2 linked regions of the Mytilus edulis genome follow. The protein of the gene in region 2 binds, or shares a complex with, the protein of the main gene of each other region. Links are inferred from orthologs where the notes say so. Each region holds a gene or a part of one and is shown on either strand. Other genes may lie near its edges.

Region 1 (3,933 bases), on a different chromosome or scaffold from region 2:
TATTGCGTTGTCTTCAAGAAACTGACTTAATCTAATTGAAGCAGTCAGGGATATAACTCTATAGGGTTAATACAGAAAAATAACATACATTTGTTATTGTGGACTAAAAAATCAAAGAACTGTGATAACATACGTATGTTACATGTATGTTACATGTTTCAAAAGGACAATATATATATCATTACTCTAGTTAAAATGTATAAAAGTTCTATTGATATTGCTTCTGTCTATATGTATACTTAACTATTGAAAGATATAACAGTTCATAGTTTGCAAATTTTGCATGGTACACCTATATGTTATTACAGAAAAATTATGCCTGTAATAACTAAAGAGTGTTATCACAGCTTCTCTATCTCACTTCAAAGCATTTGCTCAGACATAAATCATTCTTAATTACAATGTATTTTAATTTATTGTAAGAAATAATTACCCGAGCATGTAATGAGGTTCAGCGCAAGATTCTCTGTAATTCCCAAGTGTCATATATAATAAGTTATATTCCTTAAATAACCTAGCCTTGTTATCACAGCTAAGTTTCTCCCTTAATAGCCTTGTCTCATTCTGACATTAATCAAAAATATTAATTTAATTAAACAAATAGTTAGCAAGGTTATGCATTCAGTTTCTGCGCAAAGTCTCAAGTGTTCCCTATGCCCCACTATAAATGAAATAATTTTACTAATAACAAACATATATTATTACAGATTTAGATTTACCCTTGTAAAGACAACTCCATAAGAATACAGTATTTTATAACTTGGATCTAGTTTGATTGAATTTTCCATTTCTGTGATATTGCCTGATTTAAAGTTGTCCCAATTGATGCTTATTCCTGCATCTTTTGTTGTTTTCTCCGTCTTGATGACCAGGACTGTGGGAGGTCCAATGGCTGTGAGTATATAATGGAATGTATTTTGATCTCCAATAGCTTTGATGTAAGCCACTCCTCCTGCACAATCTTCCTTTGTGTCATCACACCCAGGATTTAATTCAGTTTGTATCTATAATTGAATCACATATTTTTATAGCCTAAACAATTGTATCATATACATGATATACAGAACTACTAAACTAGACTGTTCAGCATTATATAACCGAAAAAATGAGTGCAGAATAAACATGATTTTCCAATAGACTTTTTTCATACTACATGAACATGTACATGTACATGAACAAATGAATCAACTGTCCTCAAGTACCTGTGACTTTTGTGTCCCAGATGTCCGCGTTCAAGAGTTAAATAATATTTGGCCAATTTCCATTAAAAAAAAATGCATTATCAGATAAAATTTGTTTTATTTTAAGTCAAATTTATATCAAATTGAAATAATTTTTGCTCTGCATCCTTGGTAGTGTGCTTGATTCAAATTCAGCTATATTTCGTAGCAGAAATCTTTCCTATATTCAAAATAAGCTATTTTTGGAAGGCATGTGCGAAATCACAGGACATTTGAGGAACTCTCAGAACAGGAGTTTTCCTAATTTTGGACACACATTACACAAAATCTGGGTCTCACTAATTAGCGACAACAAGCGTCAAGAAGCGACAACAAGCGTCAACAATCGACAAGAAGCGACAACAAAAATTATTTTAGCGACAACAAGCGACAAGAAGACTATTTAGCGACAAGAAAACATTTTTTTTTATTAGATATAAAGAAATTTGTATTTAATGTTTTTTTTTAAATATACGAGCAGATATGTCTAATTAAAAAGTTTATATTAGTATATTGGTAGATGAAGAAATTTAACATTTGTGAAAAAGAAAGAGATTGAGCTTCTTTTTTTTTTATTTTTAAATATGAAGAATATGTATAAGATAATGTATGTATCTGTTTTCATCAAAGTCAAAGTATGAATAAACGAATGGAGATATTGTAACACAATTTGTGTTTCATATCATTAATTATTATTATTATTACTGGAGTATTAATGATCATTAATTAGGAAATTCATTAAGAAGGAATTAATTCTTATCCTCCTGTTTGGTTTCAATTCTTTGCATTTCACAATTTGTGTCAATATTTTCAGGACAATGATGCACAAGTAATTCATTTTGCGAGCTTAATACATATTGCACGAAAAGAGTTTTAAAAAACAAATTATAAGATAAATAATATGTTCTAAAACACAAGGAAAAGTAATTTCATAATACAATAATTAAACGTAATACTGGCTGTTATTCATAATAGATGATAAAATATTATGTAAATAATGTTTATCAATTTTAACTTTCTTGTCGCTAAAATTATTTTCTTTTGCATGTTCTTTTAATATTTATTGCAATAATTAGTTTTGATTAAAAAAAAAAATGTTTTCTTGTCGCTAAATAGTTTCTTGTCGCTTGTTGTCGCTAAAATAATTCTTGTTGTCGCTTCTTGTCGCTTGTTGACGCTTGTTGTCGCTAAAATTCTTGTTGTCGCTAATTAGTGAGACCGCAAAATCTTAACATGCTTAAGGGTGAAACCATACAAACAGATATTTTTATGAAATAAAAGTATCTTATGAATGTGTTCACACAATATTATCCAATACACCTTATCGCTATTTGTCCACCATTACTGGATATCACGCAGGTTCCCGTAAAATTTTGACATCATAAAGCAAAATATACCTGTAACGCCACAAATTTTATGGAAAAGTAATTGTTGTTGATGTCAAAAGTTGAAGCGGCAGTGTCAGCCGGGATTAGCGATAAGGTGTATTATTAGCTTTATCAGTTGAATGAAGTGAATTCATAAGTCTTACATATAGGTGCGCGGATACACCGACTGCACCGTACATGTATAAATTTTAAGTTCTAATACCGAATATTTTTTTAGTCTTGGTTTTAAATTTCTCTCATATATCTCATTATTTGACAATAATAATTGAAATATATTATTTCGTCTTAAAACAAAATCATAGTCTTACCGTTCTTAATGCAACTATTGTCTCCAATAGAACAATAACAAGCAGAACAACTGAAAAAACTTTTGAAACAAATGTTACGGTTACCGCCATCTTTAAACTGTGATGATCACATGATTCATTATCAGCTGAGCGTCAAGTGATAACCAAAAGGTATGTTTTATACCCGCATAAAACTTTTAAAGTATAACGGACTGAAAAGAACTTTATTTTTTCTTTCAAATGAACTGTCAGAGGTTAAAAACATATTGTTTTGAAATAGATAAATTAAGTTTTAAGTAAAAAGTTAAATTTCGTAATGGTCCATTTAAAAAATATTCCTCACAAAATATTTTGCCGACCCTAAGTCTTGAGGGCCTGGACCGGGTATTGGGAGCATGGGAGAGAGGGGCGGGAGAAGATAGAGGGGGAGATAGAGAAGGGAGAGAGGGGCACCGGGGAGGAAGGAGAGAAGGGGCAGGAGAAAGGAGAAAAGAGTATAGAAGGAGACCGTGAAAAATGTGTATTTTAAATTTTTAATATTAAAATTTAGCAGGAAAACAATTATTTAATAAATGAGTGAATCAAAAGTTTCAAGAAAGTGGTAATAAAAAGTAAAGCAACAAAAAAAAAAAAAAAAAAAACCGACTCCGACAAAATCTAAAAACGGAAAGTCCTTAAAAGAGGGACGAAAGATACCAAAGAGACAGTCAAACTCATAAATCCAAAACAACTGACAACGCACGATGGCTAAAAACGAAAAAGACAAACAAACAACAGCACACACGACACAACATAGAAAACCAAATAATAAACAACACGAACCCCACCAAAAAACTAGGGGTGGTCTCAGGTGCTCCGGAATCTAACTGCAAAATCAAACAAATATATAACAAAACGGTTATATTCCGAATTGGTTCAGCTAGGCATTTTCTTATGCAGAAAATGGTGGATTGGACCTGGTTTTATGGTTAGCCAATCCTCTCACTTGTATGACAGTCGCAGAAAATTGCGCATAGTAACGGAAAAATTATTCCGAAC
Region 2 (3,933 bases):
CTTCTTGATGTAAACAAAATATACAGCCATTCAATGAAATTTACAAAAAAATGACACGATAAGACAAAAAAAAACAATTTTTATGAATTTATCCAAATGTATGGTTGAAATGTTTCACCAAACAAGGAAAGTCAGTGGTTCCAAATCAACCAAAGGCTATGAATGATTCTGAAATGACAATAAAGTTGTGAAGGACAGTTGGGAAATGGAGACCTAAACGCAACAACCAGCAGGCAGGTTGCAGTCATTTCTTGAAAAATGTACTCAGTATACCATTTCAACAAAACAGATATTCCATTCACTACCCTCTCTTTAGTCTAAACTCTATAAAAACATTAAGAAACCCAAGAATAGTTATACAAATATCAACAAGAGATTTGACATTGACATCCCCCCCCCCCAAAAAAAAATCAGACTTACATATACTTCATTTTTGTCAAGCCTTCGACTTTAGTCAAAAAAACGAGACTAAGCGATCCTACATTCTGTCGTCATCGGTGTCGGCGGTGTCCACAAATATTCACTCTGTGGTTAAAGTTTTTGAAATTTGAATAACTTTCTCAAAAGATCCTGGATTTCTACCAAACTTGGACAGAAGCTTGTATATGATCAAAAGATAGTATCCAGAAGTAAATTTTGTAAAAATAAAATTCCATTTTTTCTGTATTTTACTTATAAATGGATTTAGTTTTTCTGCTGGGAAATATTACATTCACTCTGTGGTAAAAGTTTTTAAAATTTAATAACTTTCTTAAACTATCCTGGGTTGGTACCAAACTTAGACAGAAGATTGTTTATGATCATAAATAGTATCCAGAAGTAAATTTTGTTAAAAAAAAAATCCATTTTTCTGTATTTTACTTTTAAATGGACTTAGATTTTCTGTCAGGAAACAATACATTCACTCTGTGGTAAAACTTTTTAAAATTTTAATAACTTTCTTATACTATTTTGGATTTGTACCAAACTTGGACAGAAGCTTGTTTATGATCAAAAGCTAGTATCTAGAAGGAAATTTTGTAAAAAAATAAATCTATTTTGTATTTTACTTTTAAAGTGACTTAGATTTGCTGCGAAACAACACATTCACCATGTTCACCATGTTCACTCTGAGGTTTAACTTTTTAAAATTTTAATAACTTTCTTATACTATTTTGTATTTGTACCAAACTTGGAAAGAAGCTTGTTTATGATCAAAAGCTAGTATCTAGAAGGAAATTTTGTTTTCTTCTAGTTTTATAACATTACATTCAGTGTGCAGTTAAATTTTTCAAACATTTATTACATAAACTATCCTGGATTTTTACCAAACTTGGACAGAAGCTTCTTACAATCAAAAGATAGTATCAACAGGAATATTTTATTGATTTGTTTCCTCATTTTTGTTGAGCTTGCCATAAACAGAAAGAGTAGGCGAGACACTGGGTTCCGCGGAACCCTTACAATTTTTTTATACAGTTAATGCTCAATAATTTTGTTGGAAATGTCTTTTCTAAATAAGTGGGCACGATTATTGTTTTCAACCAAGGTACAGCCAGATTTTTTTTAAAGCAAAAACAGGTCCAGAATTTCTCTTCCTTAAAATATCTGACCTCCCCGACAATCAAATGGTCCGTACCTTAGACTTCTATTTATCTAGAGATTACTGAGTGGGGATCATTATTCAGCAATTTTATTATAATAATAATGGGCTGGGCAGTAGGGTTAACATGTTTTTGTTGGTAAATATCATAGCTGTGGAACTTTTTTTCATCATGTAAGTCATTTAAGTGTAAGAAAGTATTACCTTCTTTTGGGTGGAATTGTGAAATAGGAATCAATACATCCTTGCTATATCCTTTGTTGCTTTGAAGGTGTTACATGTTATACTTGTCATCCACAGCCTTAGCAATGTGTTACTATATATAGCTAGTATTTGATTTTCAAAAAGAAACAGTGACGTTTTTACAACGTACTGGTTAACTCCACCGTGGCATATTCACTATGATGTAAATATGAGCTAAATATCTTTATGAGTAACAAATTGTCGCATGAAATATAGGGGCAATGGCAAAGTTAATGCAATCTAGTCTTATGAAAAAAAGTGCAAGTTAAGATCTAGAGGGGCTTACAAACTTCTTCACCCCCCTCTGGCAAATGATTAATGTCTGGATGTGCCACTACTTTCCATTGTTAACTTGCTGTAAGCATCTGAGCAAGAAAAAGAGAAAACATAATATGTGAGCATTGTACTTCAAAACACTTACAAGTTACACAGTAACATAATATAAAAATATATATACAAACCAAAGCTTAAGAAACACATGATAATCAAAATCAGATATCTGTGTAAAAATCTGAACGGATTGCAGCAAAGTGTTTTTCCACATCCTGTAAGTTTCTCTTCTTCTTCGTCAGAAGACCCTAACAGTGGCTTCTTTTCACTCTCTGTCATTTTGGTAACTTTTGTGCTTGTGACAAAGTGACAGAATCACATGATTTTTCAATCTAAAAATAGAAAATAAATAAAAATAGTCTCTAAATTTTTTTACACAAATGAAGAAACCTATAAATTCTTACAAAATTCTGATATTCAAATATTTGATTCAGTGAAACTATAACAATAGCAACAATAAGTACAAAAAAATAATCAAAGATTGTTTGGCAGTTTCCGGTTAAAAGTGTCAACATCCGGTGAATAATTTTAGCGGCGAAAACGACTTGTTGTTTGCAGAATGAGTTCTGCAAGCAAGGTATTGAAAATATTGCATTCAAAATTATATATCTTATAGTAAAATGTGAAACCCCAATCATTCACTGAACAACTTATATCTCCACAAGCGCATTTATTTTATATGCATGTAAACTACGTTCACTACGAGACGTTTCGCCCTACGCCTACGGCTAGTACCACTACCAGAAGCAGTTCTTCAATCTTCCATAGGTCGTTTCGGTCATAGTCGTTAAGGTCACGGCTACCAATTCAACCAAATTCGATTCGGACTTCTTTTAATTTTACCATCAGAATCAATCTCTGATGATCTCTCCATGTCTTAAGACTGGAATACAATTTTTCCAATTTGTGAGATTATTTTTTCAGGTTCATTTATATTTTTCCAATCTTCAAAAATTTGTTTAATAGCTATACATAGGGATAGTGATTTTATATGATTTTATTTTTGCAATTTGTCTTATACCAGCTTCTTCTCATTTTCTGCTGCCATTTTGAATTGAAGTATGTACAAATGTATGTACTTCGAGATTCTGCCAATATAGACGCACCCCTTGATTGACTGCAAGCTTATTACTTACCTGGATTTTGACGTGCATTTTTTTCCAGTCTGCAGAAGATAGCAAAATAAACAAACACATAAGTTTCATTTGATCCATCTATTGTCCATTTAAATCAATACTTCTCACAACATTGATTATATGAGAAAAAAGTAAAATCACAAAAATACTGAACTCTGAGGAAAATTCAAAACAGAAAGTCCTTAATCAAATGGCAAAATCAAAGGATAAAACACATCAAACAAATGGACAACTGTCATATTCCTGACTTGGTACAGGCATTTTCAAATGTAGAAAATGTTGGATTGAACCTGGTTTTATAGTGCTAATCATCTTACTTTTATGTCAGTCGCATCAAATTCCATAATTTTGACAACTATCATGACTATGTGTGAACAAAACAGACATAATCAGTAAAATAGTCAAATTATGGTTACGACAGTCATCACTGTGTTACCATCTCAAGACAAACAAACATGTATATACAAAAAACACAAAAAGCATCTATCAAATTAAAAAACACATTCCTTGTTTCGCATGTTGGGTGTCAGAAAATGCAAACGTCACAAAAAAGAAATTTTGTCGTTCAATGTCTGTATAAAACAATTCTAATTTCACATGGAGAATGGTGGTATGCAGGGTTATAAAATCAAAAGTTATGTT

What was found.
Region 1: the proteins of lysosomal dipeptide transporter MFSD1-like (region 2) and glycosylated lysosomal membrane protein-like are in contact, whole or in part, in a cryo-EM structure (PDB 8R8Q), measured with the Mus musculus proteins. The link is inferred for Mytilus edulis from reciprocal best matches to the Homo sapiens genes MFSD1 and GLMP. Residues at the interface, in NP_080089.1 of Mus musculus: Val288, Glu292, Lys293, Arg295, Phe349, Phe351, Leu411, Asp412, Lys414, Gly415, Tyr416, Leu417, Leu418, Val421, Ile424, Ser428, Leu432, Val435, Leu439; in NP_064387.1 of Mus musculus: Glu250, Asn252, Ser253, Ile254, Asp255, Asp256, Glu257, Pro260, Ala261, Phe263, Gln264, Arg292, Phe364, Leu367, Val368, Ile371, Met372, Ala375, Ala378, Leu381, Met382, Gly385, Phe389.

The regions. Positions count from the first base shown.
Region 1 is NC_092347.1:64,502,970-64,506,902, reverse strand, and holds the start of glycosylated lysosomal membrane protein-like, read right to left. Parts: upstream 3,073-3,933; 5' UTR 3,007-3,072; coding exon 2,917-3,006; intron 1,005-2,916; coding exon 720-1,004; intron 1-719. UniProt on the Homo sapiens protein: Required to protect lysosomal transporter MFSD1 from lysosomal proteolysis and for MFSD1 lysosomal localization.
Region 2 is NC_092346.1:89,248,360-89,252,292, reverse strand, and holds the start of lysosomal dipeptide transporter MFSD1-like, read right to left. Parts: upstream 2,596-3,933; 5' UTR 2,435-2,595; coding exon 2,287-2,434; intron 1-2,286. Other genes in the region: BPTF-associated chromatin complex component 1-like, read left to right, coding at 2,715-2,732. UniProt on the Homo sapiens protein: Lysosomal dipeptide uniporter that selectively exports lysine, arginine or histidine-containing dipeptides with a net positive charge from the lysosome lumen into the cytosol.